Linked DNA regions of Daphnia pulex. The protein of the gene in region 1 interacts with the protein of each later gene in a pairwise test. Links are inferred from orthologs where the notes say so. Each region holds a gene or a part of one and is shown on either strand. Other genes may lie near its edges. The genes, in order: huntingtin-like, dynactin subunit 2-like, WW domain-containing adapter protein with coiled-coil-like and cullin-5-like.

Region 1 (8,216 bases):
GTATGCTACCATAGCTGCTGAAGTATTGAAATCCTCCGATTGCTTAGGGGTAAATGTCTGCAAAAGCCCTAGTAGAGACTCATGCACAACAGGTGGATCCATATGAGAAATCAGCTTTTGAAGCATTTGGAGGGCTTCGTCTGAATCCAAAAATAGCGAATGCCTATTGAGTTGCGGGATGAGTGCATCACAAATTTGCTTCGAGAGGGATTTCCATTTGTTCGCATTTTCAAACTGCACTTGAAGTAATACAGCAGTTATCAAAGGGTAAACCTGCAAATATGATTACAATTATGAAATTTTTTTTATAGGTAAACTTACTGATTTGCACAAAGACTAGTAAATTAAGAAAAAAAAAAGAATTAACTTGCAGTAACTACATACCTTGTGATACTGAATTAACCGAATGAGTAAATTTATAAGGACTTCTTTCTGAGTTTCAAGTTCCTTAAAGTTATCACTCATTCTTTCTCTTGAAAGAAACAAATCTTCGACCATTGGTTGCAATGTGGGAAGCACTAGAAATTTAAAAATTAAAGTTATGCGTACAGCAAAATCAGTAAAACACGCAAAGGGATTACCGTGCAGTTCAGCATCCTTTCCAGTAGCCATTAATCCACCAGCAAGCTGCATAATGCGTGGGACAGAAATAATAGTTTTTGAATGGAAGCGATCATACGATAATAGTGACAAAAATCGAAACATGGAGGGCAACAGAGTTTCGACTTGCCTGATAAAAGATTAAAATGAAAATGGTCAAATCAATACCAATAAAAAAAAGATCAACTAGCACTTACGGTATGAAACCTTCTTCTAGAAACTCAAACTGTTGGATGACAAAATTGAGAAAAACCTGGTCGGCATCGAGAAGGCAGTAGTTGACGCAAAGATGGATCAATTCGCAAAGAAGATCCAAAACTTGCTTTTGAACTAGTGGACAGCTTGTGACGGTGTACAACTTTGATGAAAAACTTATGTTATTAGTAGAAATACGGACACACGCGAATGGCTAAAACTCACCTTCAAGGCCTTGATGACCATCGGCTCAAATAAGCGAATATAAGAAGTCAAGGCAGTTTTATCAGGGCCAATTTTGTTTATAGAAGTTCGAAATTTGGTTATCAGATTTGGCCTTTCATTGTTTCGGCTAAAAAATGAATTTAAATAGAAAACGAGAAGAAATAAAATGTTTTAACAAAACTTACTTGAAATTCATTTGACGTCCAGCACTGTTATACAATAATTCATCTAATCCACAACTCGAGTAAATGCTCTCGTCACATTTCACTGTTGGTTGCAAACTTGAAGAAATTGCGCTTCTTTTAAATCGGGCTGCTTCGTCAAACCAGACAGCTGCTAAATTGGCTCCAAAAAGCGCTTTAAGTAACTGAAGATTGATTCACAAAAGAATTTTGAAATCAATATTCTATTAGGGTTATTTTTTAACAAAGAAAAAAATACAACCTGTTGAACGTTGCGCAAACAGTAGACTGGTTCAGCTGTAATAATGATGCGTAAATAATTGAGAATCTCCTCGCTGTGTTTTCCAATATCTTGGAAAATGGAAACTTCAATTAGAGCGGCTAGCAATTCCAAAGTAGATTGGATAAAATTCGACAAGCGTTCCGAGGTAATCGTATCAAAATTCAGCTATAGTTGTGAAAATAAATATTTACTATACAAAAAAAAAATGTACAGCCCCAATAATACATACTTTGCAAGTGGCGTGCGTACTCTTCAGTAAATCGTAAAGTTTCACGTAGAGAGGTTGAGCAGCAAAAAACCCGACATTACTTGGATTAAGCAAATGTGGTTTGTTCTTACGGCCGGACTCATCTGACTTATCTTCTTTATCTGAGATTAAACTTTCAGTGCTTCGAAGTTTGCGACGTATTGGACTTAACGCGGACGGGTTTGGAAGCGTCACCAATGGTACTTTAATTGAAACCAGTAATGGATTGACATCATCAAGAACACAGCAGAATGCATTTAATATACGGGTAGCATGACCCAATAGGCAAGACGCCGTAGCAGACGAAGGGCCCTTTAGAAAACGCCAATCTTTAAAATCTTTCTCTAATTGGGGTTCGTTTAAACCTGCTTTCACACATCCTATTCCAAGAAATATTGAATGTAGAAGAAATTAATGAGAAAGAAATTAAATGAGAAAAAAACCTGCAAAGAGCTGAGTGGCAAGTGTGATTAGGGTCTGGTGTGTTACTAGATCCAACATCAACGTAGAGTTTGTCAGGAGTGCCATGCATACTTTCAAGAGACTGCAATTTCCTTTTGAGCTACAGCCGTAAACTTCCAAGTACGTAGCGGGAGGATAAGAACAGCTCAAGGTAGACAAACTTTGCAGGCAGCCCATCTGAAATCGAACAACAACAATTTTATTTTCAAATTTTGTGCATTATTAGTAAATAATTGTAATACCTTGACAAACTTTGAATTGGAAGAAACAAGTAGTTGAAATATCTCATCGACAAAATAAGCTAAGTTGACAGAGACGTTCTGGTTCAATGAAACATCCCAATAGGCTTCTGCCAATCCATTGATAGATAGGGGGACACCAGCAAAAGTCTTTACATGCAGTTTTTGTGGAGTTGAACCACTGACAGATGCCAACCATTTAGCGCGAGTAATATTTGAAGGACTTCTTCCTACAGTCCATGACTCCATCAAGCAAGTAAGACAATTTGCTACCGCGCTTCGGACTCGATGATCTTCGTCGCCGATCATTGTAAATAAAAATTTATCTGTTGAAACAATAATTAATATAAACAAAAAATTTCAGAGCAATTTTAAATAATAAAACTAGTCGGACTTACTTAGGAAACACTCTTGGAACTTCGGCAATTTGAAATTTGTTTGATTCTGGAGCCCAAATTCCAAGGCTGTCCAGGAAAACGAACCAAACACTTCTAAGAGATCTACTCTTACCAGCCAATAAGGATTTTCCGAGAGTTTTAACAATGAACGTAAAAGCGGTACAGTTTCCACGCAAAATGGGCCTTCTAAGGCCATAGGTAGGAAGTGCTGTAGACCTTGAAGAGCAAGGCGAGAAGCAGCTGTCTCTTTATCAATTAGAGTTTCATCAATGATGCGAACGAGGGTTCTTTTTTCAACGCTGGTTAAATCAAATCCACCAATTACATTGCTGAGCACCATGCACGCCAGCAGAGCCACTTGCCCTCTTAATTGTGGGTCATCGTGTGTGCTATACTGGAGAACATCAATTATCGCGATTTTCCCATCTTTACTTGGAAAACGTGCAAAATAGTTAAATACTTGTTTTAACATTTCATTAATGTTTAATACCACCTGTGTCTGATAAGTGCGAATTCCAAATGAGAGGCTCCAGTGATCCAATGTGCGCCAAGCAATTGAGGGCTAGACTTTTTACTGAAACACGAACAGATCGATCCGACTTGATTTGGCCTTTTCTTTCGGAAAGCAAGAAACTGTAAGATAAATGGCGGGCGCAGTAAAGAAGGGGGGATACTGTTTTATCATACAGCGTTCCTATGTCGATTGCCTGTAATTGCGTTGAAAGAACACATATTTCAGGTGAGGAAAATAACGAAAAAAAAAAACGATCCGAACACACGTTATACCTGTGGGGCATCAATGACGTCACAGTTTTCTGGCTCAACATCAGTTTCTTCCAGTTCTTTCTCTGAAGCCAATACATCGGTTTCGTTTAAAGTCAAACTTTTTGAAAAATCTTCTCTTTCGTCGACTGAAAGTGCAGCAATCGAATCTTCTGCAATTTCTACGTCACTTTCAGTTGAATCCATGCTCGTCTTTTCGAATTCGCCCAGATGAACTTCCGCCTCCAAGAGAAGAGACTCTTCCGCAACTGGAAGCGCAGTCAAGTTCCACTGACCTAAATATACAACACGGATGAAGATCAGATAGGTACAATTTAAGAGATTTAAGAATCAGGCTAACTGTTTTCTTTGGATAATCCTCTTAGAGAAATTCGAGTCCCTTGTAATCCATTTACACTTTTTAGGGAGGGAATCGCTAGGATAAGGGACCGCATCTTCAGCAATTGTTGTAGGAGTTCTAACGCTGCGTTAACAACATTATGATCCGAAGAGAAAGAATAGTGAACTCCAAGCTCAAATATCTGCCCAAAAGTATCGAATTAATTTTAAATCAAGATAAAGTAAAATTAAGGTGACATACCTGAACAATACGTTCTAAAGCCACGGCGTTCAAGCTGGTAGTGATTTTAGGAAGACTAACTGACAGGTGTTTAGTATTCAAATTTTCATTTGTTTGATTAGATGATAATTGAAAAAGAGGAAGAAGCAATTTTAGAGTTAGCAAAGTTCCTATAATCACTGGTGTATCTGTCATGGAAATATCATCAGGCAAAAGGATTTGATCTAAAAACCAAACAAGAATACAATAATGCAATCATTATAAAGTCTCAACGCGCATACCTGTTAAATATTCCACAACCAGTGCCAACAAAATATCACTTTTTCTGTTTGTAGATATTATTACTGTGATGGCATTGGCTGCACATCTTCTTATAATAGAAGAACTAGAAGATAAATTTGCTAGAAATCCTTTTAACAGAATCTTTGTTTCATTTTCATAAGCAAATATTCCCATAACATTAAAGACTTTGCAAACAAAATTAGACAAGCTTTCATGAAGCATCTCTTCCTTGCGATTGGCAATTGTTGATATGGCATTAAAAAGATTTGCTATGTATGCACGTCTTTTCTGAGGCCTGTAAAAGTGCAACATTTAACTAGAATTGTTTCAATGTTGGAATCAAAACATGAAAAATACCGAGCTAGATGGCAAAGTTCGGCAAATCTAGTCATAGACAACTTCAATATACGAGGAGATTCACTTTTTTTTATCTGCTTGCATAATTCTACTAGAATCCTGTTACTATGCAATGGAAGAAGTGCCTACAAATAAACCAAATTATAACAATAATTCAATAATTGTCAGAAACCAATTAACAAAATAACAGATGATAAACCTTGATGACTTTATACAATCCTTCATCACTTGCTAGTCGAATGTCAGAATCCTTGGAATCACACAGTCTAATGAGGGAATCAATACTCGGACCGATGTACGAGACAAAATCTTTGTGGTTTTGAACGTTAAGACTATTGTTAAATTCAACAATGTTTTGTAGATGTGTTCTCAGTTCTTTTTTCTTTACATGGTTATCAGAATTTGAATTTTCTACAATCTGCAATTGTTCAAGGGCTCTAATAAGTCTTTCTAGAGAAGCCATCATCAACAACTCGAACAACACACGAAATCTTCCGCGGTATTCTGAGACTCACGATCAGCTGTCAATCCCACGTTTCAGTGTTAAATTGTTTCTAGTATTTGAAAAGGTTTCGCGTAGAAAAAATACATTCGATACCAAAATTCGGTTAGCTTATTAATAATTATTTCTCAAATAAATCTATGCTTACAAAAAAATCACAGAACATGAAAACAAAAATGGAATGGAATTTAAAAAACAGATAAAAACATCTTTATTCAAAGTCTGGCATCGTCTTCTCATTTCGTAAACAAAATATAGAGCAGAAGGAAATAAAAAATTGTAGGACAGCCGGACAACGGGGGTAAAAGTCTATATATTCTTTGACTCTCGTGAGTCAAATAGTGACTCATTTCGTGAAAGAAAACAGTACAAAACTCTTACCCAACGAAAATGATGGAAAGCACAAGTAAGTTAAATTTTATAGATTCATTGTTATAAATGTTCCACGTAAAAGTCGTAGAAAATAACCGTTATGAGGAAAAATTTCCAGTCGACTAACTATACTCAACAGAGAGGGATAAATATATCACCTCAGAAACAAAAATAGTTATTTAAGCATTACTTTAAATCATTCAACATTGAAATGGGATTACTACGCACAAACTAGCCTTGTTTTATATGAAAAAAATCAAATGAATGAACAGGGAACAGGAAATATAATAGAAAACACTAGCTGCTAGTAGTTATGTGATACATGCAGACAAACTATTCAATAAAATAAGGAAAATTTATGGCTCTGTTATAAACAGATGCATTGGTTTGAATTTAACATGGATATCTCTTTCTCTGTGAACATTGTCATAAAAATGTTTGTCCTTTTTTCTAAATCCTAATGCAATATCTTAAGACATTAAGTGAGCCACCACCTGTGTTTGGTTCAGTCCCTACTTTCTATTTGCATAGTGTGGTTATCCGAATCAGCCCCATCTTTTGAATCACCTTTACTAGTTGTCACCAACTGTTGTAACAGTAATTGAAAGATCTTTGGGCTTTGACCTTTTGGGACTGAACCGTGCTAGTCACGCTTGATCCTTTTTACTCCTCGGAATTGGTGCCGTTTTTATTGATCTTTCCTTTCTCCGTCTACAGCACCTACAAATGGCCAGGATAATGATAACTAGAAGCAGGATTAGTAGTATAACTCCAAGAGTGATGGCAGCTACATCTCCAGAGCTAAGATAAATGGAATCTGCAAGAAAAAAAAATCCGTCAGTTTCGATCAATAGAGCATTGGTATTCGTGGTAGGCGTCAGTTTTTTTTTTCTTCAAGTTACATTGATCGGCTCGACAGGTGGCTGTATTTCCGCGAACGTCAACTGCCGTAATATCAACTCCAGTTGTGCAGCAAGAAACACTTTGCTCTACAGCAATCGATTCGTTAGTGCCAATTATGAAATCCTCCCCTAGAAAACGCCCATCAGGTTTGATGCTGACGGACAGTAACCCTAGCAAATAACAGGGAAATCAGATTATAGCGAGAATAGCCCAGTATAAAACTTTATTTTTAAATACCCGCTTCTGTATCTTGAATCTCTGCTCTCATGTTCCAATATCGACTTGCGCAAATTGATTCATCCAGATAACTGTCGCAGCGAGTCACTGTTCTGATTGTGCACCAAGGAGCCCATTTTTCTCCTGGCTTAAAAAATTATGTTTAAATGTAATTTAGTTTAATCCGTTTCTCTCCGCAAAAATCTACAAAACTGAACTGTTACCTCTGATTTCGTGCGAATATAAACCTGTCTCCGCGAGATAGCATTGTCAGTCCGCCGCTGCACGATGATCGTCAGTGTAGATACAACGTTATTTGCATAATGGGGAACTCGAATCCTTCCTGGAACAGCTAGCGTTTGTCCCGGACCCAATTGTATCCTGTGTGTCAATTTTGAAAAGAAGGAAAGATAGAACTAGACCAAGTACAAAGTAAAAACAAGAAGCGTCGAATTGGGTCAGATTGAACAATTAAACGGATGATTGGACGAAACACAATGATGTAACGTGACGGACGGAGGAAGGATGTGAGAGTGAAACGGAAGTATCGTCAGCCAAAACAGGTGTGGACAGTCTTTATAAAACACTGTCTGCCCAAAATTGAATGACATACTGAGCGTAGTCGAATTGGATGAAAAAGTTTTTGTCGTCGCCTCCGCTGAGGAGAAAGAAATCGCCTACGCCGTCGTTTTTGAGCAGCACTATAATGCGCCCATCTGTTCCGGGTGGCACGTACAGTTGCGACGCCTGATCAATATTGATGCGGACAGGCGAGAAAAACACCTGTGAAGCCCCGCCGCCCACAAGTGCTCCCGCAGTCCCCGTGTTGACGATAGGCGATGCAACAGGATTGAGAATCGGTGCGGCGTTGACGATGCCGCCGTTTCGAATCGGAGCTGAAGCCAATAAAGACGTGATTATATTGCGGATGAAATAAGTAGACACGTCTGAGAAGATCTTACGGAGGTTATTAGGTGGCGGGACGGCGATGCGACCTGACGCCTGATCGTTTTGACTCGTCGAGACTAAATCCACTTCATCCTGTATAGGAAAACGTTATATAAAAACCAATTTTAAACGCTTTCATCTTGAGGTGAATCTTACTTTTTCGGTTGGGAAGAAAGTCGACCCGAAGGCTAGCGAAACCAACGCCAAACCGATCACGAGTTTCATTTTGTTGACGATTGGTCGTTCGTCAGTCACCAGTCAACTCGTGTGATTCAAATGCCACGTCCGTGCGTACTCTGAGCCCCGATCTGGGGCTGCTAATGAATATATATACACGCGGGAGAGAGACTAAGGGAGGTATAGACTCTTACCTCGGTGGCCTTATCACTACAGGACGTTATATATTGTCGCGAGGGCGTCGTTTTTCTTTTTTCGTCGACATCTACTCGGACAAAACCAAACA
Region 2 (7,766 bases), on another chromosome or scaffold:
TGAATTAGCCAAAATTCTTGAAGATTTCCATCACCGAAAAATATGTCAAGGAATCGTGGATGATTCGCTAGCAGATGTCGAAGTGACGGATAAATGTGCTCGTAACAAGGAAGGCAATTTGTGGCGCTCAAAAATGCGCATGGAAATAGCTGGTTCCAATTTATGTTCATCATGCCGCCGTTTTATAGATTATTAGAAGATAACCAAGAAATAACCAGACAACCAAGAAATTGAAAAATTCGAAAGAAGATTACAAATTGAAGCTGCGTTCCACCGAGCGAACGCTGAAATGAGCAATGTCTAGCAAGTTGAGGTAAATTATTATTGGAATACTTCCTTGAATAATCCTTAAACATTTATCTTTGAATTTCTGGCTCTTTCAGGTACCATGGATGGTTTGCGCAAAGAAAGGAAGAAGCTTTACTGGAATAGCCGCTTGATGTAAAAATAAATAAGCTTCTAATAAGCCCAAAGTAATAAAAAATTGAAACAGTCGATAATTTCCCTAGTTAATTTCCAAGAATTACTCACTTTTAGGAACAGCTAGTTGTGAAAACAATGATGTCCAAAGCAACAGTGAATCCTGGAAGAAACGATTGGTTCGGTGCAATGCGTTACGATCCCGAATTTCTCAAAGAATGTTTGAGAATCACACAACAGATCTCGGTGATTCGAATAAATCAACACAATCGAATCCACTTAATGTTTTCGCCAAATAAAATGTCATTGAACAATCAAATGTGTAAAATGAATGTTCTGACATAGTAAGGAGATGTAGCTGTTTTTTTTTTTTTTTTTTTTCCTTTTTACAAAAACTAGGAAGCCGCTGCTATTTTACGTTGTTCAATCACAGGAATCCGAGTTTCTGATTGGTCCCTAGGTTTCTTGGCTTATTTCGGTATTTCGTCTGCTTCACGCCAATGCAGACTACAAGTCTACAACACTCACGAACCAGTGCAAAGGACCTGACAGGCTGACACAGGAGATAAATAATTGAAAGTCATGTTGTGATAATGATAGCTTGGGCCGTTTCTTAAATCAACTAGTTTATCAGAAATTGGTGAAGGATCAAAACTCGCAATGGAACCAACGGTTGAACGAGGACTGATTTTTAAAGAAGAAATTCAAATTCCAACACTTTGGGGATACCTTGCAGGTGGTTATATAAGAATAGAAGTGTTTTAGGGAGAAGAACTGTTAAGTACTTTTATTAGAAACTTGAAAACACTATCATTGTATTTATTTTAACTAAGCCAAGGTATGGGGGCCTGATGATGGTGTTCCTGTTTTGGCACTTCATGGATGGCAGGATAATGCAGGAACGTTTGACACTCTTGCTCCTCTGCTTCCATCGAATATCAGACTAGTTTGCCTTGATTTTTGTGGTAACAATAACTAAATATTAATAATTGTTTCATCTGTCGTGTATTGAGATTTTCTCATTTAATTAGGTCATGGTCTTTCGTCACATTACCCACCAGGAATGTTTCTCAACTATTATGATCATGTCTATCATGTAAAACTAGTGATAGATTATTTCAAGTGGAAAAAAGTAAACATTTTGGGACACAGGTATTAACTTAATTGGACATTGAAGTTAAACAATTCTTTAATCAAATTCTTTTTATTTATTGGAATATAGCATGGGAGCAATTACTGCCATTTTCTTTGTTTCCATGTACTCAGAATTAGTGGATAAGCTCATCAGCCTTGATGCAGTCAAACAACTTTCATCCTCTGCTGAATACCTACCTGCTCGTATGAAGGGTGTTTTAACCAATTTTCAAGAAATTGTTGAAAGACTCCAACAGGGACCCTTATCATCTGTGTCTTACGAGGATGCTCGCGAAAGAGTTGTCAAGAATTACGGTGGATCCATTGACGAGAAAGATGCTGATGTCCTTCTTAAGCGCGGTTTGCGTAAATTAAGTGACGAAGATGAATATGAATTCACTCGCGATTTGCGCTCTACCGTTCGTCCGTATCTTTTTAATGACTTTACTACTGAACAGCTAAAAGCAGTGGCTCGTGCTATCGTATGTCCGTTTTTGCTTATAAAAGCTAAAAACACTTCAACGTTTGAACCAAAAGAATTGTATCGGGAGTTTTACGATATCTACCGCGATGCCAGCGAAGATTTTCGTTACGTAGAAGTTGAAGGTAGACACCACGTCCATCTATCTCATCCAGAGTTGGTTGCTCCCATAATTAGTAATTTTCTGTTTCCTGTGAAATCTAAACTCTAATTCGGGTTTGAATTTGTGCCACACAAATTAAACAAAACCGCCCATAGGTTGTTAAATACAGGTTGTTTGCAATGAGTTATATTCGCAACCCTTCTGCGCTCTAATTTTTCTACTTACAGGTACATTAGTTACGTCGTAATGACAAATTTAAAAGTCTACGTTATTATTAAGTCGAATTATTTTACATATAAATTTCTATTCCTCTGACTAACTTGGATTTTTTTATGACGTCAGTGCTCTATGGTGAGGGGGATAATTTTGAGACATAGATTACAATCATTGTTTGAGATAACGAAATGATGTAATACGTTGGATTTTAGATATCATCTTTCTATGTGATGAATTGAACATGAACAGCATCGAAGAGTGCAACACTGCAACTAGGCTAGAGCGGATATTTTATTTATTTTTGGAAAGGGTTTCAAGACAGTCAAGAAATACAAGATGCGATACTATATGGAATTATCTGTTATTTCATTTAATTCATCAATATTCATCATTGCATCGCGCAGGAATGCAGTGTGATACTGACGGCTGACGGTTTTTCGATTTAAAAAAAAAAGTAGACGGGTTCTTTCGGATTTGTGGTTTCTTTTCCTTAGTGCTGATTGCGGCCCACAGAGGCGCTGAAAAACACCCAATTTCTTATTATGACTCAGAAGTGGCAGATGGAAAGGTAGGGCGTTGGACTCTGCTGTTTATCAAAGTAAATTATTTGTCAATTTTCTGTGACAACTCCAGACGACAGGTGTTCCTAAAATTGTTTAAAATGGCTGATCCCAAATACGCCGCACTGCCTGGAATCGTAATCAGTTATAATCAAATCACGTGTTTTTATTGCTAAAGATGTTATTTTCGTCTAATAGGCGTATGACCAACCTGATTATTATGAGTCTGAAGACGTGTCTGAGTCATTCTCCAACCTTAATAACCAAGTAAACCAGACTATTACATGCCTAAAAATTAGATTCTGGTAATATTATCACATAACAATGTAGGATCAGAGTGATTGTGTTGAAAAGCTCAATACAAATGTCACAGAGTCTTATGCAAAATTTCAAGGGCACTGGTTGTCATCTCAGAAAGCAGATTTCTCGGGAAAGATTGGTGTAAAACACAATGCTGGTTATACTTCTTGGTTGGTACAATAGATTTCTTTTTAGTCTTGGTTTACACATTTGTAATTATATCCTAGGAATGGACCATATGAGTTGCAAGCAGAAGGTGAAAAAGAATCTCCTATTGAAAAGCTAAACCGTCTCAAGTGTGAAGTTGTGGAACTCCAACAAGAAGTTCAACAATCTGTAATATTCTTTAAACTCTAAACTGTGTATTGTAAATGAGCTGTTGATTATTTAGGTTACTGGATCTGAAGAATCAGGGGATCCTAGCAACTTAGCCATGCAAGTTGCATTTCTTCAGAAACAACTAATGGAAATTAAAATAGATGAAGTTGGCTTCCCTAAACCAGAGCTTTCTACAAAAAGGTTACAGATTATTAATAAATGTGTAAACCCCTTTATTTAAATGATTTTAATTACAGAAAAATTTTTGAGGATCTGGAAACTGTTGGAAAAACAGCAGGTGATGATCAGGGCAAACTTTCTACAACTGACCCATCCAAGATTGTTTACCAGTTGCAGTTTAAACCACAACAGATTAAGCTAGATCTTGCTTCCAAAGAAGCCAATATGCTACAGAGACTGGAAAAACTGGAAAGTTTATTTGGGGTCCCTGATAAGATGGTAACCTTTTGTTAAACTTCTTTTCATTATTTTGAAGTGAAACCACTGATGTTTAATTTTTACTTTTAGAATCAGCTTTGTGCGGAAACTGGGCAAAAATGTGTGAGTGATGCTGTTAGATCAATATGTTCCAAGGTAGCTCTTTTAGAACCAGCTCACCTAGACCAGGTAATTGCACTAATTATTGAGTATTTTTTAGTTATGTACCAGTGACAAATTGACAGCCATATAAATATTTGTTGACCATTAGGTTGAAGGTCGTCTTGCTGTCTTGATGTCTAAACTTAATGGCATAGCCAAGGAACATGGACCCATTGAAGACAGCAATGTATCAAGAATGGTATGTAATTTTATCGATTGATCAGTGATTATAATAAAAATTTTTACATTGCTATTGGTAGGTTAAAGAACTGTATGAAGTTGTGAAGCAGCTAGAGCCTTTGATATCTCTATTACCTTCAGTTGTTGATCGTTTGTCTTCTTTGAAAGTGCTCCATGATGGCGGTAACTATTTAAAACAAACATATTTGATGGTTAGTTTTAATTTCATTTAAAAATTATTTATTTCATAGCTGTCAACTTTTCCCAAACTATCGGCCAAGTCGAAAGTATGCAATCCAACTTAGATCTGGCAATCCAAAATCAACTTCAGCTATTAACGGATATCCAAGAAGGATTGTCTACAAATGTCCAAGCAATGAAAGCTTCTATTCAAAAATTAGATGATAAACTGTCACGCAAGTGAAGTTGTTGTCTTATTTACCTAATCTCTTATCTATAATTTGATTCAACTTATTGTCAAAAATTTACCATAAAATGAATGATTACCAAAGTGTGATGTATTTTTATTAGTGCGATGTGTTAACTCAGACACTTTAAAACAGGAGTACAGGCTACGCTTTCCCGTCAAACAGTTTCAAAAGACAGTTGGATTTCGTTGCCATCGGTTATTTGTAAATTGCAACCGTACAGTACGGTTACAATTAGAGTACGGTCCGTACTCTACGCGTAAGTATATACGTAGGTATCTCTTATAATTGCCACTAGAACTTAGCTCACTAGCCGCAGTTTTTATCACCTGACTCTGGGGAATCCTCACTCATACTCGAGGTAACTTTGCAGTCAACATGTGTGAGGAATTTTAGATTCGTTACATTTTTTTTGCATATCTTCGCTGTGATTTTTTGCATGCAAATCAACCTGCAGACAGGTTGGCCAGTTTGTCCAGATAGGATGTCCTTCTCGCTTGAAGGTCGCGGGAAACATTACGTGTAAAACTATCAATGCGGTGGTGTAGAGGTTGGGTGAGAATAACAGTGTTTCGTCATTATCAAAGCAGGGTCAATAGCCGCAAGGGTAAGCTATTTGGTATTCATTTTGATTTTTGTAGACCCATCCCCAGCAACGTCAACCTAAAGAAGGAAAGGCGAGTTTGCATTTCCTTCACTCTCGAAGGTCACGGAGATCATTACGTAAAACTGGCATGCGGTGGTGTAGAGGTTGGGTGAGAATAACACGTGTTTCGTCATTATCAAAGCAGGTACAAAAGCCGCAAAGGTAAACTATTTGGTATTCATTTTGATTTTGGTTTTTGTAGACCCATCCCCAGCAACGTCACCTGCAAAAGGAAAGGCCAGTTTGCATTTCAATCGAAGGTCATGGAGATCTTTACGTAAAACGTGTCATGCAGTGGTGTAGAGGTTGGGCGAGAACGGGACATTTTACATCATTATCAAGAAGGTAAAATAACCGCAAGGCTTAAGAGGAGGGGTGAGAAAAAGTCGTATAAAAGGAGAGAGAAAAATCGACAGGGATCAGTCGAGCGAGTACCTCCGACACGGTAAGAGCTGCAGTGCGCTATTTGCCATCAGCTGCATTCTTCATCGTATTATCAGTTCTCAATCATAGGTAAATTTTCTGTTGTTACATGGAGTCATGTATCAATTTCTATTGCGTTTTCTCTTTGTTAATATGCCAGTTATTTTTGCGCATTAATATTTAAATTATTCAATGTCTAGTCGTGTATAGGGGCAAAGAAAAGGCGATAGAAATCAGTCGAGTGAACATCTCCGATATGCAAGAGCAGCAGTGCACCATTTGTCACCAGCTGCATTCTTCTTCGCGTTACCAGTTTTAATCATGGGTAGATATTCTGTTTCTAACCTGTAGTTTTTAACGTTGTTAATCATTCCACTTTTTTCTATATGTTGATATCCCAGTACTATAATTAAATATTAAAGTTAAATTTTTTTAAAGTTTCTAGTTAATTATGGCGCCGTGCTGTTACCAGTTACTAGTCGTTACTCGTTACCAACTGTGCTCTTCTTTACATTTATACACTTTACACACTTATCTTTACCAACTGCATTCTTCATCGCATTGCCAGTTTGATATCATGGGTAAACATTTTTACATGGAGTTGTGAATCAAATTTCTATGTGTTAACATGCCAGTTATAATTTCATATTAATGTTCAAATTTTTAATTGTCTAGTAAACTATGGCGTCGTGCTGCTGTTGGGTCTTGTATCGTTGATGGCTGGTTCAGCCACTGGTGTAGCGATGTCTCCTGGGTATGGCGGATAACAAATCGCAACGCCGCCACTATTACACAACATACGACACGACCAGTTGCTACACCAAGGCCTTTAAGTATTGCACCAAGGCTCCAGGTTAATATATAACAACTTATGCAGCCCTGAGCTACTACACCGAATCCCCGCAGTATTTTTCTTCCCCGAGCTACACTACCAAAGGGTCGATTACTACACGGATGCTCCAAAGTACTACACCACCAAAGCACCGTAGTACTACACAACCACATATCATGGGTAAATATTCTGTTAAGTGGAGTTTTATTATGCCAAGAACAAAATATACAAATTATTCATTGCCTAGTAGTATGAGAGGAGAGAAAAGGTGAAATAATTCAGCAGCCGAGTGAACATCTCCGTCACAGCAACAGGAACTGCCGTGCACTTTTTGTCATCAACTTCATTCTTCGTCGTATCACAAGTTTTAAATGAAGGTAAAATTTCCCCATAGGGTACTGAATCAACTATACTTTATTTCTATTTGTTAATAAACCAGTACCATAATAGGAAATTAAATGTTAAAATTTATTAATTGTCTAGGGAACTATGGCGTCGTGCTGCTGTTGGGTGTCGTATCGTCGATGGCTGGATCGACCACTGGTGTGCCGATTTCTCCTGGGTGCGGCGGACTTCAACAACAACATACGCAACAACCGGATGCTACACTGAGGCCCCCAAGTGCTACACCACCAAGGCTTCAGAGTATTAAACCGTAACTGATGCCACCCCAGTTTATGTTGGCCCGAGCTACTACGCAGAATCTCCGAAGTATTTTTCTTCCCCGAACTTCACTACCTTCACTATACCGCCTCCTTACCAAACAACAACGTCAACACCTACATACTAACGAAGGGAGCGGAGTACTACACCACGCAGGGAGCGGAGTACTACACCACGCAGGGAGAGGAGTACTACACCACGCAGGGAGTGGAGTACTACACCAAGGCTCCAGTTTACTTCACTACAACCCACGCTGCTCCAGAGTACTGCACTGATGTTCCAAAGGACTACACCACCAAAGGCATCCGAATATTACATCACTACTTTCGTTACTACCAAATCCTACACCGAAGCTCCCAAAGCACTTCTTTGCCCCGAGTTACTACACCACTAACGCAGCCGAATAACACCCCAAACTACGATTCCGCAATTTTCTACATGGAAATTCCTTATTATTAGAGC
Region 3 (8,124 bases), about 3.2 Mb from region 1:
ATGTTCGTCGAAAAACTTTCTCCAGTCCATTTCTTAAATTTGAGATTACTATTATTTTGTTTTCCCCCTTCACAGTAATTGGAGAACGCGGAATTGAGTTACGACCAGTACTCCGATTGTCCTACATATTCGTGCGTTTTTCTCCTGGATTTAGATAAGTGGGATTTGAAACGAAAAGACTAAAAGAGCAAAGCCCCGGCCAGATTTGTAAAAGTAATTGTAAAGGTAGCGCCGCTGGCTTACGGTAGGATGCTTGATGAAGTTGTTCGACATTTTCCCTTTCTTTCAGTAGTAGATCTATGCAATCGAAAGTAACCAACATGCAAACGGGTTATTCCAAATTCTTGATTAAACTTGTAACATTAGAAATCTGTCATTTTTGTACCCAGTTTAAACAAACCAGTGCGCTTCGAAATGTTTCAACTTCCCATTGTGGAATTTGTCATTTTTAGCTTCCGGAGCGCACGTTGAGAATGCCGTTACTTTCTCTCATATTACATTCGTTAGAAAAAAATAAAAATAAAAGCTGCATTAAGTACTACCCTACTGAAAAGTTTCCCAACATCTTACCTCACGAAATTTAGCGGTTTCCAACTGTCCACTTTGGTTGAAAACAAGGAAAAGGAGGAGCAAAATAAATTTCACGCCTGAGACTGTCAAAGATTCAGTTGCCTATCCTTTTAACGCTTCGATCTATAAAAGCCGTTGACAAGGGTGAATCATATTGCTAGAAATACTTTTCTGCATGGGCGTCTGTATATTGTCACTCGAGTATAAAAAGAAGTAACGCTCTCTTTCGCTCAATTAACACGAACCCCCGAAAAATAAATCAAGGGCGACAGAGGATAGAGCCAGTTTAAACAAAACGGGATTCGTACTGGTCGTAATAACGCAGTATTCCTTAAAAATTATCAGAATAAAAAAGGATAGAAAAAAATATTTAAAAATAATAATAAAAAAAAAAAATTAATTCGATAACATATCAACGATACAATACACAGGTCGTGCAGGATCTCCATTCGTCACCCTCGGTTTAAAATACGCAACTTCTGCTTTTGAGACTTAAATCGAGTTGGCGAAGACGCACTTAACTTATTTATAAGAAGTGGAAACAGGGAGGCAGCACCGCAGGAACATCCGAAGGAAGGGGGGGAATAGGACAGGCAGGAGAAGTTGTAGAGAATCACGCAATCGACCCCAGATCCTTCTTTAATTGTTTCGCGGGGTTAGAGCCGGTAGCTGAGATGCACTGTTTTCTTGGTGTGTTCTTTATTCTTGGCTTGGTACGAGTCGGATTGGACTTGTAAAGGGAGTAAAGTCGACGAATGATAAATGATAAGACACAGAAAAATCCATCGAGAATGCAGAATTGAAAATTGCAACCAACAGAATGATAGCCATAGGCTGCAGCATCACTTAAAACAAAAATATTGGGCTCAAAACCAGCCCAGAAATAAAATTGATACGAAAATCAACTTTGTTTAAGAGCAGATAGTCTTGTTCTTTTCCACTTCTTTTTTTAAACACCCAATAAGGGCGACACGAACATCACACTTCAACGTCGAAATAAGCGGACGAAATATGTTTTTTTCTCCAGGAAGGGCGAAAATTTTATACAGAAAAGGGAGGAAAATTATAAACTGCGTCACAGACAAAAAAAGAAAGAAATCGGGTGGGAAACAATACAAACGAGGGAGTAGGCCAAGACAACAAAACTAATTCGGAGCGAATGGAAAAATTGGCAATTAAATCTTTTTTTTTTGTTGTTTTTGTTTACGGACCCGACCAGTAGAAACTACAGAATTACATGAGAATAAATACAGCTTCTGTCACTGACAGGCTCGTCTTTTGTTATCTTACTGATGAGATACCAACATCCTTCTGAGTCGCAATGCATTCAACGCAGCACACACGTGCCTTCAACGGCCGGCTTTTGATGTGTTACTTCGCCCCGAAAGAATCGATAGAAAGAGAAAAAAGTTTTCACCGAGGAAATACAAAACGGTTCCGCGAGAGTAAAAAAAAAAATATTATTCTGGTTTTAAGACGAAAGAAAATCGAGCTAGCTATTTTTTCCTCCAGCAGAGAAAAAATTTAGTCCGACATAAAATGATTGGGCGGCTTTAATTCCTCCAACTCCTTCATCTGTTGTCTTAAGAAGAGAATCCTGCTTTCCCAAACGAAATAATTTCAGTTAGGGTCAGGATTAACTTAAAATGAAAGAAAATCGTTGCACGTACCGTTGCTCCTGCAGAGTGGCTTGAATATCAGCTACTCGGACCAAAGACCGCGCCATCTTCAGTTCAGCCGATACTTTAGTTACATGAAGATTGCCAATGGTGTGCAGATCTTCGCTCACTTTCGTCGCCTTTGATTGAAAATTGAAACATTAAAAATACACACACACACACAAAATTTAAAGGTTTGCTTTGCTTTTAGATATTTACCTGTTTTTCTAACAGCTCCGCGGGCCATCCGGTCACGTGAGAAATCAAATCCGGTCTATAATGGGAGGCTAGTGAAGGTGTTAAAGCATGGCTGGATGCAGCAGATGGCCGTAAACTTGCCGCTGCCGCCGAGAGGGAACTTAAACTTGTCGCTGGGCTCCCTAATTAGCAATTTAAAAAAAAATTAGAACTGATTACGACCGTTAAATTACTTTTTAACAGAAGCCGACCAAAATAATAAATTTAAAAATTAAAAAAAATACTCTTCCTTACAAACAAGGTCGGATCGGATAGTCGAATTACCTCGACGAAAATCTGCTTCAAGTCTTTCCGAATGAGTTGGCGTAGGAGGTCCGTTGGCAGGATCACCTTCCAGGGGCGTCGGAGCGGAAAGACCATGACAACCGTCCGTTAGGTGTGAAGAAGATACTCCTAACGAATTCATGTTCTTTGGTAGTGTCGCCACATTCGAGGCGGGAACAGCAATCTGTGAAGAAGAGAGCAGCGTCTGCAAGGACTGCAAGACTTCGTGTGCTGGAAGCTCCATGTGTTCCAAATTTTGTAGCGAACCTTGATGAACAAAAATTTCGAAACGTCAATTCACATTCAATACAAACTTTCCCACACCGTTTCATAAATTACCTAGAGCAGTGATATTCCCCATTCTTCCGAGAGTAGCCGTAAGCATAGACTGTATCGCAGGATTGATGGCAGTTCCTGAGACAGATGATCGAGTTAACTGGGTTAAAAGCTGTTGGAGGGATGATAGACTGGTCGTTGTAGCAGTCGACGTCGTCGTCGGCATGGAGGAGCCAGCCTGTAACGGCGACATCAAACTAGGAGCCCGACTAGAATCAAAGCGAAGACAAATAACAAGGTAATCCTTCTCATCTAACAACATCGAATTCTTTGATCAGCACAAGCTGACGAAGACAACAAATTACCTTGTCGAGGCATTTGGAGTTTGAGAGGAGGGTCTTATGAGTTGAATTGGAGTGCTGGTCGGTGGATGAGACAGTAGACGTGGCAGAGCAGTAGCTAATGAAACAGGTGCAGCAGAACCAGCGGTCGGAGTTAACCGTGGGTCAGGCGTGTAAGGTGTGGCGACTTTTGGTCCGGAGGCCTCGGAAGTCGGCGTGCTATCCGCCGGGGAAATGTCCATATCTTGGCTAGGTCGTTCTAAACGAGACAATTAACCTTGTTCAACAATTGCAACACTTTGACCGAATGGAAATCAACGTTAAAAAGGTTTGAAACACCAGATTGCATACTAGATAATAAGCCAACATGATAAGTTACCAAGTTCGGTAAGAGTTTAACTAGTTTTGTTCATTCATTATACAACATACCGTAGCTGTGTCTTCTGGACTGCGGCTGTTCCGGCACCGATGGCGGAGGCTGATGAGTTCTATGATTATCTCGATTCTCCGTTGAACGAGATGATGCCACATTGCTACTACTGCCACTGCTATTGTTGTTACTATTCGACATAGTACCAGAACGACTAAAATTGGAATGTCTTTCAGACGGGCCACTACTACTGTTACGAGACGACGAATAGGATTGCCGGTCGTACTTTCGTTCGCGATCACGATCCCTATCACGTCTGTAGCGCTCTCTGTCGCGCTCATGTTCCTTTTCCTTCTCCCAATCAACCCAGTCGCGAGGTTTCTCCCACTGAGAGACTTCCGTTTTACAATTGTAGTAATATTTCTTTCCCGACGAGCTGACGTGTTCTGTCCAATCACCGACTCGTTGAGGCTTTTCCTCTGTGGATCCTCGATCGTGGTTATTGCGTCTATCTGAGTCTCTTGGTCGCTCTCTTTCACGAGGAGACCGATTGTCTCTGTCTCTCTCCTTATCCCGTATCCGTTGCGTATAAGATCCTTTGTGCACATAGCTTCTGTCTCTGGGGCTATCACCAAAAGAGTTGGGGCTATCAGAACGTAGCCCTGTCCCGTTAGGCGAGTCGCGTGTTCGATCATTGTATCGATCATAGTTTCCTTTGGAATTACTATACTTGGTACTAGCCTGTCATAACAGAAAAAACAATGATTAATAATGTAACAATAACAAAATAAAAATTTGATATAAACAATGAGAAATCTGCACTTCTACAACTGAAACACTTCCTAAACCAAGTATGGTTGTAACAAATATATCACTACTGTATTGTCCAATGTAGCTGTCATTTGCTTTGAGTGCCCTTTGTTTACAGATGTGGTTAGAGAAAAAATTTCCTAGCCAATCAAATAAAGATGAATCCCATAAATTACTTTCGAGAAGTTCACTAAAACTAGACAGAGAATCCTTACTTAACATTCAAACCAAGAAGAAAGAAGGATAAGTCATTTACTTGTAGGTTTGGCTACCATTGTTTACCAAATGGCATTGAGAACACAGAATAACAACATAATGATTTTTCAAAAGAATATTCATTGAGGATTCTGAATCTCATAGTAAACAACTTATAAAACTTGTTAATTCTATAAGATAGAAAAAGAATATTAAAGAAAATTCAATTTGACTACTATAAACTATGATGTTCACTAAAGTGTTTCTGATTGTTTACGAATCATCTTTTCTCAGTTTAAAAGTTTACTTCATTTTACCAGTACTTTACCTGGTAAGGGTGGGACTGATGTTTATCGAAATACCTGAAACGAAAATAAAAAAAAAACGTCAATAAAAACAAAATAAGTTACAACAAATATGGCGGAATCAACTGTCACGAATTTTGTTTTACTTGGGAACTCGGCTACATTGTACAAAAAAAAAATCTTACCCATCATCCAGTCTTGGTAGTTTTCTAGCATGCATTACCATCAATGCAATGATCTACAAGAGATTAGATTTAGAGCTGAAACAGCTCTTTCTTCTACGAAACGAGTTTACGAAATTTAAGTTTAAGTGTTTCCAAAAAGGCCAGACGCCATATAACATCCGGGCTCCCTCACTCAAGACACAGCATTGCCACTTTACTATAAACAGTCCTCCAGAGGGCGATATCTTTTTACACAGCATTGTCACATTCACTAATTAAAACTTGGATGTGCAAATGTTCATGTGCGCTATTTTGCAATTTTTGCTCTCTATCGGTCTTCTATATCAATGTCATCTCTTATTAGACAGTAGTTGTCTACTCACTCTCGATGTGTAGTGTAAGTGGAAACGTCACATTTTTAGGGAAATACCCAATACCAATACTAGTAGTAGTGTTGTCGATCTGTCAAAAGATTGTAGGATGTTGAAGTTAGGAGAAACTCGTAATTTAAGAATATTTGAAACATTTTATTCCCCCGTGTTGCACCGTGCGTAGGATAATTAAGTAAAACCACCTTTGAGTTCATTTTTATTTATTCTTATTGTATTTTTCTATTTTAGTAAAAGTTACTGATGTGACTGATCCTGCACAGTGCACACACATTGATTGAATTGTGTAGAAATCTCATAAACATTGTATACAGAATCTTGCCCTTCTCAAATGCTAGCTTAGTAAGTCATTATTCAAGGCCATGGATAATTTTCCTTTCTTTGACAACTGCCATTTAAAAATCTAGTATAACTTTGCTATTCTTTGTATGGCAATTTTGTACTAATGCCATTTAGAACATAGTTTGAAAACTAAAAAAATTTTAATGAAATAAGAGAAAAATGGCTGATAAAAAAATACATAACTGTATTTTTGGGGGGTTAGGGTGGGTAGCTTCCAATTGAATAGATGTTTTAAAATCAGGCAAGTTTTTTAAACACTGTATTAATCTTCTCTAATGTATCTGCAATACACTTTTTTAGCTTGTTCCATCAGCAGATGTTTCACTTCCATCAGTAGATGTTTCACTATCTTTTTTTACAAGCTGTTCCAGAGACTGTGTTAATTGCTGCTGTTGATATGTCAGGGATTGGCTCAATTGAATTGTGTGTGAGGACAGGATTGAACAGAGCTCAGCACGCAGCATGTTTATATCTGGTAAAGTGGCAACCCATTGCAGCTGACTTTTGGTGATTAACCTGCCTTGGACTACACCAGCTAAAATGAGAAAGAAATATTAGACTACATCAACACACCTTAGTCAAATTTGTGCTTACCTAAAAGAACCAAGTGATTCATTTTCTTGACAAATTTAAGAAGTTTAGGTACATGAAGGTCTTTACTGCACAAATAGGCAGTTTTCCCTTCATGTAATCTTAGAACAGGCTCAAACTCTGTTCCAGCCAGAGCCAAAGTGGCAATTTTTCTACTTCCAAAGACCATTTTCATGTTGTGACCATGTATCATTTGTTTAATCTAGATATTAGAAGTATTAGTGTATTGGTATTCAACAAAATGCAGAAAATAAAATAAATAAATATTCTAACCTTAATTAGCTCATATGCTTTAGAGGAATTTTCATGAAAAACAGCAATCAGCTGTGATTCGGCGAATTTCTTATAAAACTCTTTGGCCAAAAGTTCCTCATACTTGGAAGTCTGAATACAAATAATATTAATGGAAATGCTGATGTGACTTAAAAAGTAAAACTTTGTTACCTCTTCCTTTTCTTTAGTTTGCCAAATATTGCCACACTTTTCGAACCATGGTTTGTCCATCTGGGGATCTGGGTATATGGGCTCAAGGGCAGCTTTGAATCTTGCTTTGACATAATGATCTGGAATAGGTCTCTGTTGTGAGTAATAAGGTCATGTTAGTAAAATCTAATGGAAATACAAAATCAAGTGCACAATATTACTTGGATATTTGGTTTTCTTGTTCTCCATCTAATTGCAGTCGTCGTAGGTATCCAGGGCTTCAACAGTCCTACAAATTACAATAAATTAGAACATGTAGCATTTTAACAACAAGAATAAAAATGATTCTTATTCAAGACTTACTTTGCAGATTTATGAGCCTGGTAGTGGATTCAATGACAGACATGATTCTGCCTTATTTTTTAAAAAATTACCTTAACCACGATTATTTGAGAAACAAATCAAGTGCAAAGCAGACGACGATTGGCACTGATATTGATAGTGGCATAGTCACTTATTTGTCTACTAGATGTCGATTCGAGTGGCGCCATTTGAAAAAGAATTTTTAACTGCAGAAGTCGTGTAATCGAGATTTTAGTTTGATAGAGATTAATGGTTAAAAACAGTATATGATTACGAATATGATTATATTCATAAATAAATAAAATCATGTTTTATTACTTCTTTTTGGCACGAATTTGCGCACTGTTTGTGCAATTACAAACATTGTCCTACAATAAAGGATGAAAATCCTGGCCTTCCTTGGGTGTTGGTGGCGAAAATTTAAGTGGAATCCATCCGATTACTATTACATATTTTATTCTAAAAAAAATAGAAAGCTAATTGGCAAAAAGAAATAGAAAAATAGGAAAGACTGGAATGAGTCTGAATTCCATCTTGTACGTAATCAACTGGTTGTCCGATTTTAGACAGTAGAATCAAAATGCCAAATTTATTTCTGGTGTCACGGAGGGAATGTCAATGAACCGGAAAATGACTACTCTATGCCCAATTTTCGACCCATTGCCAACGTAACGACGTGATGACGAATTGCATACCTGTTAGATTCGCCTAAACCGATCCAGTTTATGGATGTTCTCGTTGATTGTCGCTATCGATTAAACCAAATACGACACGGATGAGTCACCGATTCGACACAGGAAACTTC
Region 4 (7,978 bases), on another chromosome or scaffold:
CGTCAGTAGTTAAAATGGTTAGGATTACGATGTCGAGAAAAAATATTCGGCAAACGTTCACGATTAAATGTCTATGACAGGTGTAAAATGAAGTTCTACCCCAATCTACCTGTTCACACCATCAAACAAAACTTGAAACTACGTTTTGTTCAGTTTCAAATGACAGTAGGCTGAGTTGCCACACTCTGATTATGGGAATTAACGCCCTAACAAACTTAAAAAAAAAAAAAAAAAGAAAATAGTCCTTGGGCTTGAAGTCCTTAAGCATTGGTTATCTAAAAATTTAACACCCTAAATATATTAGTAAATATTAAAAACTATTTGTTTTGTTCTTTCAAAATATTTGAATTGCACAATTTTTTTTTCACGACTTGTGTGGGGCTTCACTGAGTTCACTCGTCTGTCGTAAGAGTTGTTTGACGTTTAATGGTTAACATAAGTTCCTGAGTGTGGGAGGTGTTTTTTTTCTCTGCAGAACGGAACTCGTCTTACCGTTTGAAATCTGTAGGTTCTACTATTGATACGTCTATTTTTCAGCACATTGTAAAAGAACGAAATAACATGAAGAGATTTTCTTTGTAGATTATGGATAACACAGAAGCAACTAGACGATTGCATACCAAAAAGCAAACTTTGGACGACGCATATGCCGCCCCTGCCAATTTTTTGGAAATCGACGTAATAAATCCTATTACTCACGGTGTTGCAAAAAAACGATACACGGATTATGAAGTCCGAATGAGGGTAAGTGCAATTTGCATTTTGCTAAATGTCATGAATTGAATGACGTGCCTTTTTTCTTTTGCAATGTTGTTAAAGTTGTGTGTAATCAATGTTGACCATTATTTTTCCCAGACAAATTTGCCTGTTTTTAAGATCAAAGAGTCCAGTGTGAGGCGAAGGTACTCAGACTTTGAGTGGTTAAGAAGTGAGCTTGAGAGAGACAGCAAAGTATGAATCTTGACATAAGGAAGAGATTATGGATTTTAATACCGGTTCAAATTTTTTTTTTCAGATTGTGGTTCCACCTCTACCTGGAAAAGCAATCAAACGCCAGCTCCCATTTAGAAATGATGATGGTATCTATGATGAAGAATTCATTGAAGACAGGCGTAAATCTCTTGAAGGATTTGTGAACAAGTGTGTTTCTATATTAACATTCAAGCATCACAACCTAAACTTACTCAAATAATTTACAGAATTGCAGGACATCCGCTAGCACAGAATGAACGCTGCCTCCATATGTTTCTCCAAGAGCCAGTGATTGATAAGAACTATGTACCAGGCAAGATCCGACCTAACTAACTTGTGGTTATACCAGATGAAAGTTGTCACTCATTCCTTCATTACCTGTTTCTCTTTAACATCCTCTTTCCCTTCTGTTGGTTATAATGAATTTATCGTGAATACATTCGTAGCGTCTTTAAAACTGTCAGTGCTATAAAATTGTGAAGATCTGAATTGTTCCGTCAACGCGATTACACTGCATCATGACATCGCCGATCGCAATTTTATTTTTATCGAAAATATTTACACGACAGGATTTTGGCTTGACCAAGGAATAAGTAAGGAGTTAAGAGAAATTGCAAAAGAGAAGAAAGATGTACATATGAAACTTAATTAGATTCAACTGTACAGTTTCAGTAATATTGTTATTATTAGGCTAGATAAATAAAGGTATTAATATCCTTTTCAGAACGTTTCATGTAACGATGTTCTATCAGCCACTCCACTTGTTCTTTTATCATTTTCTTCGAGGGGATGAAAAGATTCTTCAAAATTTCAACAAGCTCAGTTTGCAACTGGGCATTGCTAATCTGTTTCCTCATTTTCAGAATTTTGACTATAGCCTCCTGAAAACGTAAATGACCAAATTTATAAGGTTAACGATACTAAATTTTGTTGAAATTCTTTTATACCTGAGTGCGCAAAATGCGCAACTGTACAATGCCTTCGTTTTCTTCTTCTTTACTTTTCTCGGTAGACAGCTGGAGACGACCAATTAAATTAATCTTACCCCGCTTTTGAACTTTTCCATTTTTTCTGCGATTGAAACATATAGATTTAATTTTTTAATTAATATAAACTACGATTTAAAAAAAGACGTACATTAGACTGAAGTCTTGATTGACAGAAAAAATAGAGTTTTCAGTGAAATCTCTTGCGGATTGGACTTCCGGTTGGCATATTAACAACTGTCGTTTCAGTTTTGGAAAAGCCACCAAAGACTGAAAAACCATGTCATTCCATAAAATCAAATGTGAATAATTATTCCAATTCTAAACATTTGTAAACAATTTTAAAACATTTGTATACCCCAAGAGTTCGTCGAAGTTCCGCATCAGGCAACTCAGTTGCTAAACGCAAGTTTTCAAGAGAAATTTTTTCTTTCGGTCGTTCGTTCCACGCAAATAGGACAGCCATTTGAAATGTTGTAACATCCAGATCAAATCTTCCAACTGAATTGGCAAACTGAATCTAAAATGAAATACAAGGTTTAGAATCGGCTGCACTCGGTATTAAGTAACGATAATCACATATTCGGTGATTGATTATTTCTTCCAAAGATCTGGATGTGAAGAATTTTAAATAATTTATAAATTATAAGGAAGACTCACAGTTCCATTTGACATATGATGATGCCACTGAAGTTTTCGTCCACTATGCTTTTTCCTGTAGAAATCTTCCACTTCTGGTATGTAGTCTTCTAACTCCAACGGCAACGACACTGTCACTCGGTCAGATCCACGAGCCCAAGCTCCAGCATTCAGGATTTTAATGTTAATCGAGTCTGGTAATCGTTTAAAAAAATTAATCTTTATGTTAACTTATGCGCCCTTTCTATGAGGTATTACCAGCAATGCTTCCTTTGGTCTTCCTATATTCCTCTTTGAATTGTTGATTCAAGTCTTCGCTGATCTTGATATCTTGGAACATACGGGCAAGCTTGTGAACATAGTCGGCTGGCATGCCAACTTCTCTCAACCTTTTTCATGAAAATAATTGTAAAAAATGCAAAATGAACGTAAAAATTAGTTAGTGTACCATTCAACCATGTTTTCTTCTTTTTCGCTGTCAGCTGAGGTGTCCAAGATCAATCTTCTAGTTAAATGCGCTTTGTGGAACCGCATGAACACATCTTTGTTTTGAACGTATTTCAGAACAAGTAGCTAAATGGCAACAAATGAAGCATATGAATAATTATTTAATCAAACGAAAACATTACTATGCTAGCGTGACAACACCAACTTTTTTTTATCTTACCACATCCTTTAGTTTGCTTTCAATTTCATCGGAAGTGAGTTTTTTGCTTAAAGGTGTCTTACGCAGAAGCATGTCACAGAAATTAGCTAGCAGCTCTGGGCAACGAGATTCAGGTTGGGTTTTGACTCCTCCACTGGAGCCAGGTCCTTGCTGAAAACACAATTTTAATTTTAAAGTGTTAGTTTAATGTCAACGGAAAAATTTTTTTGGCATAAAGCAAAGGTAAACAGAAACAGGAAATTACCAATCGAGTGGGTAAATCTAATCGAAAGACTGAAGTATCATTCACAACATGTTTATAAGCTTTATCACGAGCAGTAAGGAACCGCGGGTCATCGTCGAAAGCTTCCTTAACCAAGAGGCTAAACTGATTGAACAGTGTCAAAAGTCGTTCCACATATTTTTCAGAATCCTACCAATAGCATTAAAAAATTATGAATGAGTCATGAAGACATTAACACTAGTCTATCAATGTACTTGAGTAATTAATTCAGCTGCCACCATCATATCCGCCAATCCTGCGTGAATAATGTGATCTTCTAAATATTTTAGCATAGGTGCAATTCCATCGGAGACTCGATCCATCAACCGGAACATCATACGCAATTCTGTGATTAAAAATTTAAATGTTACTCAAACTCCACCTACGACACTGTAAATTTTCAATATTAAATGTGGTAAACATACTTTGAGTTTCGTCTTGCTTAATCATAGAAGAACATTCAGCTAGAATGGTTTCCTTGAAGGCTGTCACCAAGACATTTACGCAACATCCGTTAAGCTTGAAAGAAAGATTTAAAAAAATTATAACCAAATCTTAAAATAAGTAATAAAAAGCCATTAGTACAGTAGCAATGGAACACGATTCTAGATATTTATTGGCTCGCTGCTCCTCTTCGCGTAGTTTCGATTCTGCGTATCTCATGTAATTCTGAACACCATTGATTTCCAAATATTGAGGAGCTTTCAACTTGTAAAAAGCTTCGGTGGAATCTATATAAGCCCTCTCAAAGTTATCCATATAAATGGTCAACTTATCTTCAGAATTTGAACAAAGGTTAACTGCAGGAAGTAAGTAAATATTAAGCAGTTGAAACAATATCTTGCCATAGAAATGTTTTACCATAGGACTCTCTCACTCCAATGACCAACTGTGAGTCAAAGGCTTCTCCATTTCTTTCAGCATGGACTAATTTCATTGCTGAGTCTTGTAATCGGTTTTTAATGTTGGAGAAAATACTAAAGTTCCAGGAATCCAACATTAGCTAAAACACAGAAACAAAATATTTATCAAAAAACAAGTTATTCATTAAAAATGTATTTATTGTTTACCTTTCTGACTAGACTGTCATCAGTGTTTTGCTGGGGCTTTTTCTGTATTGAGTTGTGTGTTTTACCTTGAAGTGCAGTTTCAAGCTGGAAGAAAGGCATGGGCAAATATGAGCACTGGGTAAAAAATTTACGCCATTCACTGATGTAAGCCCTCAACAGTGACTGGTCTTCTTCATGAGTTAGTACTCTCTGATATAAACAAAGAGGATTAATAGATGCATCTCAATTATTTTAATCATTTACACCGATTGCAACAGGAATATGTAACTTACTGTCTGTGCTTGCTTGATGAATTCCAGAATATCATCCTGCAATGCCTTGTACATTTTGGCATGTGATTTTTCATCCCACAAACACACCATGTGTACAGACCAAAACAGTTCATGCCATTCAGCTCGACTAACAGGCTCTTGACGTAACAGTTTCAAAATTGTTGGTCTCATAAGAGGCCATTGTTCTTCAAATACCAATTGTCCTTTATCCTTAAAAGTAAGAAAACATATTTTAATTGGTTAATGTTGATGCGATATATTTCGATCGACGAATTTGTTGATGAGGTTATGAATCATGACACTACTTGCAAGTGCATAATCTAAAGACTTGATATTTCTTTCTCATAACAAATAAAAACATTTACTAGTTCTTTATTTACCTTCCACATTGATGCTGCCATTTCTATTTCTTGATGGTCTAGCCGTTTTTCAGTGCTCCTGTTCTTAACATCGGCTCACACACACACTCTACCAGTAGGCTGTCGAAGTTAACCGGTTAATCGGAATACCGGACTGAAGCCCCGTCTTGCCACGACATCTGCCATGACCTTTTTGAATTTTGATTTTTTAACGAGCGCCAATGAGCGCATAGAAACGGGCTTGGATTTATTGCTTTGTTTGATTCTTCATCTATTTGTGTGGTAACGACCACTGACTAGTGAATCAAGAACATAAGCGACACAAGTATTTAAAACTAATTAGTAAAAATTTTGTCGCTGACTTTTTATTATGTCTCGTAGTTAAAGATTTCGAATTTATATTAATTTCGTTGAGATCTGAGTCTTATCTATCATCTATCCGGATGGATCGAGGAATTTATCTGTGGCTAAAATGTGTCTCTCATATTTATCCAACATTTAGTAAGTACTCTTGCAACCAGTAGATGGTGGGCAGCTCATCATGGCTGTTGCGTCAATGCTACATTAATATGTTATGGCTACTATCCCAGTTCCCAGGCTATCCCCGTCTGTTCTTCCACTTCACGTTATTTCCTCGTTTACTCATGATAAAAGCGTACGTGAGACGCATTTGGCCAAGTATACTTGCAGGACCGGCTACAGCTTATAATTAAACTGCAACTGGTAGTGAATGTGATAATTGATGTGGCATTCAACATTATTATTATACGCACGTATCAAGGTTACTTTGATCACAAGCTGCTTTGATAGTACGCAAACAAAACAGTCAATTTCCGCACTCCCTTTCAATTGCTTGCTGCAGGCTACTCAATCTCTATAAATAGTTGTTTTTCCTCTTTCCAAGGCTTAATCTCGATATGACCTTACAAAAATGATTTCCAAAACAAAAATGTTAACATTACATATCAAAAGAAAACGCCGATGAGTACTACATCAGAAGAGTTAAATTTTTCTGCTGCTGATGTTCTTATCAAGATCCTATAAAACTACGCGGACTATTTTGTTTTCATTATTCGACAATCGCTAAAAGCAAAAATGCAAATGAGCATTGAAGATATTTTCGTCCGTATTCAAGCCTCGTTCTCCATTTTTTTTTAAAAACCTTATAAAGAAGAATTGCGTCAATCTTGTATAATGTCTGGCTTTCCAAGAGCAGTCAGAATTGCCCAGTACGAATGTAACCGCAAATTTTTGTAATCAAGAACGTACCATGTCGAATCATCCACCCGTCTCGCATGTCATAAACAAAAATTTTTGTTTTCGCTTAAATAAATCGGAATCTACTATTTGAGAAATGCATTTTTTTTAAAATCGAATTATCTCTTATTTGATTTTCCCACCCCCCGCATCAAATTTTCCAGAAAACGCTGGAACCGTGTAAAGAGAACTAGAGAAGCTTTTCCAATGTTTAGATTTCTCTTTTTCTTTTATATTCTCCTCAGAGACAGATGCCCCGGTCAGCGTCCGGCTTTTTTAATATGTGTGTGTTACGCTATGTGTTCACATAAGCCAGCAGAAGTCGCACAGAAACGGCGCTAGAGTTCGTTTCCGATTTCTATAACATTCCTACATCATCTTGTGGATATTTCTGATATATTCAAAATCGGGAAAACTCACGATCAAGAGTTAATAAATTTCAAAAATTAAACTTGGTCGAGTAAGAGTCGTGTAAACCGCTGCTTTCACTTGATATCGTGTTGTATAAATGGGGGAAAAGCTCACACGACGGAATGATTAGAAATTGCGCGGACTCTTTGTTTCTAAACAAATCGTCCCAGACTCCCGTCTTCTGTTGTCGACAGTCTCGAGGGGTGCGTCAAAAAGTTTTTCTAAACGTGGACGGAGGGGGGAAATCGTTGCAGCAGATGTAAAATTCCTTATCAGACATAGATCGTATTTCGTGCACTCTACCCTTGAGAAACATTTGAGTCCTAGTCCCGACTTCATTCTTACTCGTGGCGTCAACGTGGCAGCTCGCTTCCTTAAGAGAATGAGAACGTCCATCGGGGAGTTTATTACAGTGGGACTTTGCGTCTTTTTATTTGCAAGCTGCACACAGGCCACCTTTCGCGATGATCCCACTGTTCTCGTTACTTTGCTCGTCAGAAACAAAGCTCACACCCTACCCTATTTCTTAAAATTATTCGAAGAGTTGGACTACCCCAAAAATAGATTGACATTATGGTAAAGTGTTGATTATTCTTCAAAAATTTTTCTCTCCATCTTTTCCTCTTGTTCCAATGTTTCTTAATTGTGTCCATTCTTTTTAACAATGTTGGTGAGTGGCTTTTTCTATACTGCTCAGCGATGATCTTGTTTTATTCTGGGTGAAAGTGGATGGCCGTACATGTGTGTAGGAAGACCTACTTAAACTTTCTAGAATTTCCAAGCCCAGACCATGGCGTATTACTTTTATCAATGCTTCGTTGGTGAAGGAAGTCATTTAAAACATTTGCTCTAAAACTTTCCTTTGTCTATGACACTGCCCACACAGCGTTTATAAAAATAAATGGAAGCTTCCTCTATCTGTGTACCCTTCATGGTGGACTAGTAATACAAACAAAAAAATGTTGCATGAAACCGCTGACTCACATATTTCATATAATAATGTCAATTAATAACACAATTTTTGATGTTGATTTGTCAACATTGCCCCAACAGGATCAAGAGCGATCAGAACCAAGATCAGAG

What was found.
Region 2: the proteins of huntingtin-like (region 1) and dynactin subunit 2-like interact in binary tests that used the Homo sapiens proteins (3 or more experiments, as listed by UniProt). The link is inferred for Daphnia pulex from reciprocal best matches to the Homo sapiens genes HTT and DCTN2.
Region 3: the proteins of huntingtin-like (region 1) and WW domain-containing adapter protein with coiled-coil-like interact in binary tests that used the Homo sapiens proteins (3 or more experiments, as listed by UniProt). The link is inferred for Daphnia pulex from reciprocal best matches to the Homo sapiens genes HTT and WAC.
Region 4: the proteins of huntingtin-like (region 1) and cullin-5-like interact in binary tests that used the Homo sapiens proteins (3 or more experiments, as listed by UniProt). The link is inferred for Daphnia pulex from reciprocal best matches to the Homo sapiens genes HTT and CUL5.

The regions. Positions count from the first base shown.
Region 1 is NC_060020.1:1,037,830-1,046,045, reverse strand, and holds the start of huntingtin-like, read right to left. Parts: upstream 5,344-8,216; 5' UTR 5,279-5,343; coding exon 5,012-5,278; intron 4,938-5,011; coding exon 4,813-4,937; intron 4,751-4,812; coding exon 4,455-4,750; intron 4,398-4,454; coding exon 4,195-4,397; intron 4,136-4,194; coding exon 3,955-4,135; intron 3,890-3,954; coding exon 3,618-3,889; intron 3,539-3,617; coding exon 3,325-3,538; intron 3,258-3,324; coding exon 2,832-3,257; intron 2,760-2,831; coding exon 2,437-2,759; intron 2,372-2,436; coding exon 2,176-2,371; intron 2,113-2,175; coding exon 1,715-2,112; intron 1,651-1,714; coding exon 1,465-1,650; intron 1,388-1,464; coding exon 1,206-1,387; intron 1,148-1,205; coding exon 1,021-1,147; intron 959-1,020; coding exon 798-958; intron 731-797; coding exon 582-730; intron 519-581; coding exon 385-518; intron 274-384; coding exon 10-273; intron 1-9. Other genes in the region: uncharacterized protein LOC124192637, read right to left, coding at 6,334-6,503, 6,589-6,759, 6,827-6,953, 7,030-7,186, 7,419-7,846, 7,910-7,978; SEC23-interacting protein-like, read left to right, coding at 5,705-5,720.
Region 2 is NC_060027.1:506,401-514,166, forward strand, and holds dynactin subunit 2-like, read left to right. Parts: upstream 1-2,890; 5' UTR 2,891-3,015; coding exon 3,016-3,051; intron 3,052-3,112; coding exon 3,113-3,181; intron 3,182-3,244; coding exon 3,245-3,384; intron 3,385-3,441; coding exon 3,442-3,550; intron 3,551-3,605; coding exon 3,606-3,733; intron 3,734-3,789; coding exon 3,790-3,991; intron 3,992-4,060; coding exon 4,061-4,159; intron 4,160-4,241; coding exon 4,242-4,331; intron 4,332-4,392; coding exon 4,393-4,495; intron 4,496-4,563; coding exon 4,564-4,736; 3' UTR 4,737-4,823; downstream 4,824-7,766. Other genes in the region: uncharacterized protein LOC124207240, read left to right, coding at 1-196; probable serine hydrolase, read left to right, coding at 1,081-1,156, 1,254-1,385, 1,452-1,572, 1,643-2,246. UniProt on the Homo sapiens protein: Part of the dynactin complex that activates the molecular motor dynein for ultra-processive transport along microtubules. In the dynactin soulder domain, binds the ACTR1A filament and acts as a molecular ruler to determine the length.
Region 3 is NC_060020.1:4,241,134-4,249,257, reverse strand, and holds WW domain-containing adapter protein with coiled-coil-like, read right to left. Parts: upstream 5,460-8,124; 5' UTR 5,274-5,459; coding exon 5,233-5,273; intron 5,105-5,232; coding exon 5,071-5,104; intron 4,479-5,070; coding exon 3,797-4,478; intron 3,627-3,796; coding exon 3,392-3,626; intron 3,296-3,391; coding exon 3,090-3,295; intron 3,018-3,089; coding exon 2,721-3,017; intron 2,609-2,720; coding exon 2,448-2,608; intron 2,369-2,447; coding exon 2,241-2,368; intron 2,168-2,240; coding exon 2,095-2,167; 3' UTR 1,512-2,094; downstream 1-1,511. Other genes in the region: 39S ribosomal protein L10, mitochondrial-like, read right to left, coding at 6,239-6,477, 6,537-6,735, 6,807-6,917, 6,978-7,109, 7,178-7,245, 7,320-7,362.
Region 4 is NC_060021.1:665,400-673,377, forward strand, and holds cullin-5-like, read right to left. Parts: upstream 5,404-7,978; 5' UTR 5,270-5,403; coding exon 5,249-5,269; intron 5,079-5,248; coding exon 4,869-5,078; intron 4,786-4,868; coding exon 4,597-4,785; intron 4,530-4,596; coding exon 4,388-4,529; intron 4,327-4,387; coding exon 4,112-4,326; intron 4,046-4,111; coding exon 3,952-4,045; intron 3,873-3,951; coding exon 3,742-3,872; intron 3,677-3,741; coding exon 3,509-3,676; intron 3,415-3,508; coding exon 3,265-3,414; intron 3,171-3,264; coding exon 3,046-3,170; intron 2,987-3,045; coding exon 2,856-2,986; intron 2,792-2,855; coding exon 2,619-2,791; intron 2,479-2,618; coding exon 2,317-2,478; intron 2,229-2,316; coding exon 2,110-2,228; intron 2,044-2,109; coding exon 1,920-2,043; intron 1,854-1,919; coding exon 1,659-1,853; 3' UTR 1,492-1,658; downstream 1-1,491. Other genes in the region: sorting nexin-12-like, read left to right, coding at 586-744, 856-951, 1,016-1,140, 1,200-1,305; glycosyltransferase 25 family member-like, read left to right, coding at 7,278-7,471, 7,949-7,978. UniProt on the Homo sapiens protein: Core component of multiple cullin-5-RING E3 ubiquitin-protein ligase complexes (ECS complexes, also named CRL5 complexes), which mediate the ubiquitination and subsequent proteasomal degradation of target proteins.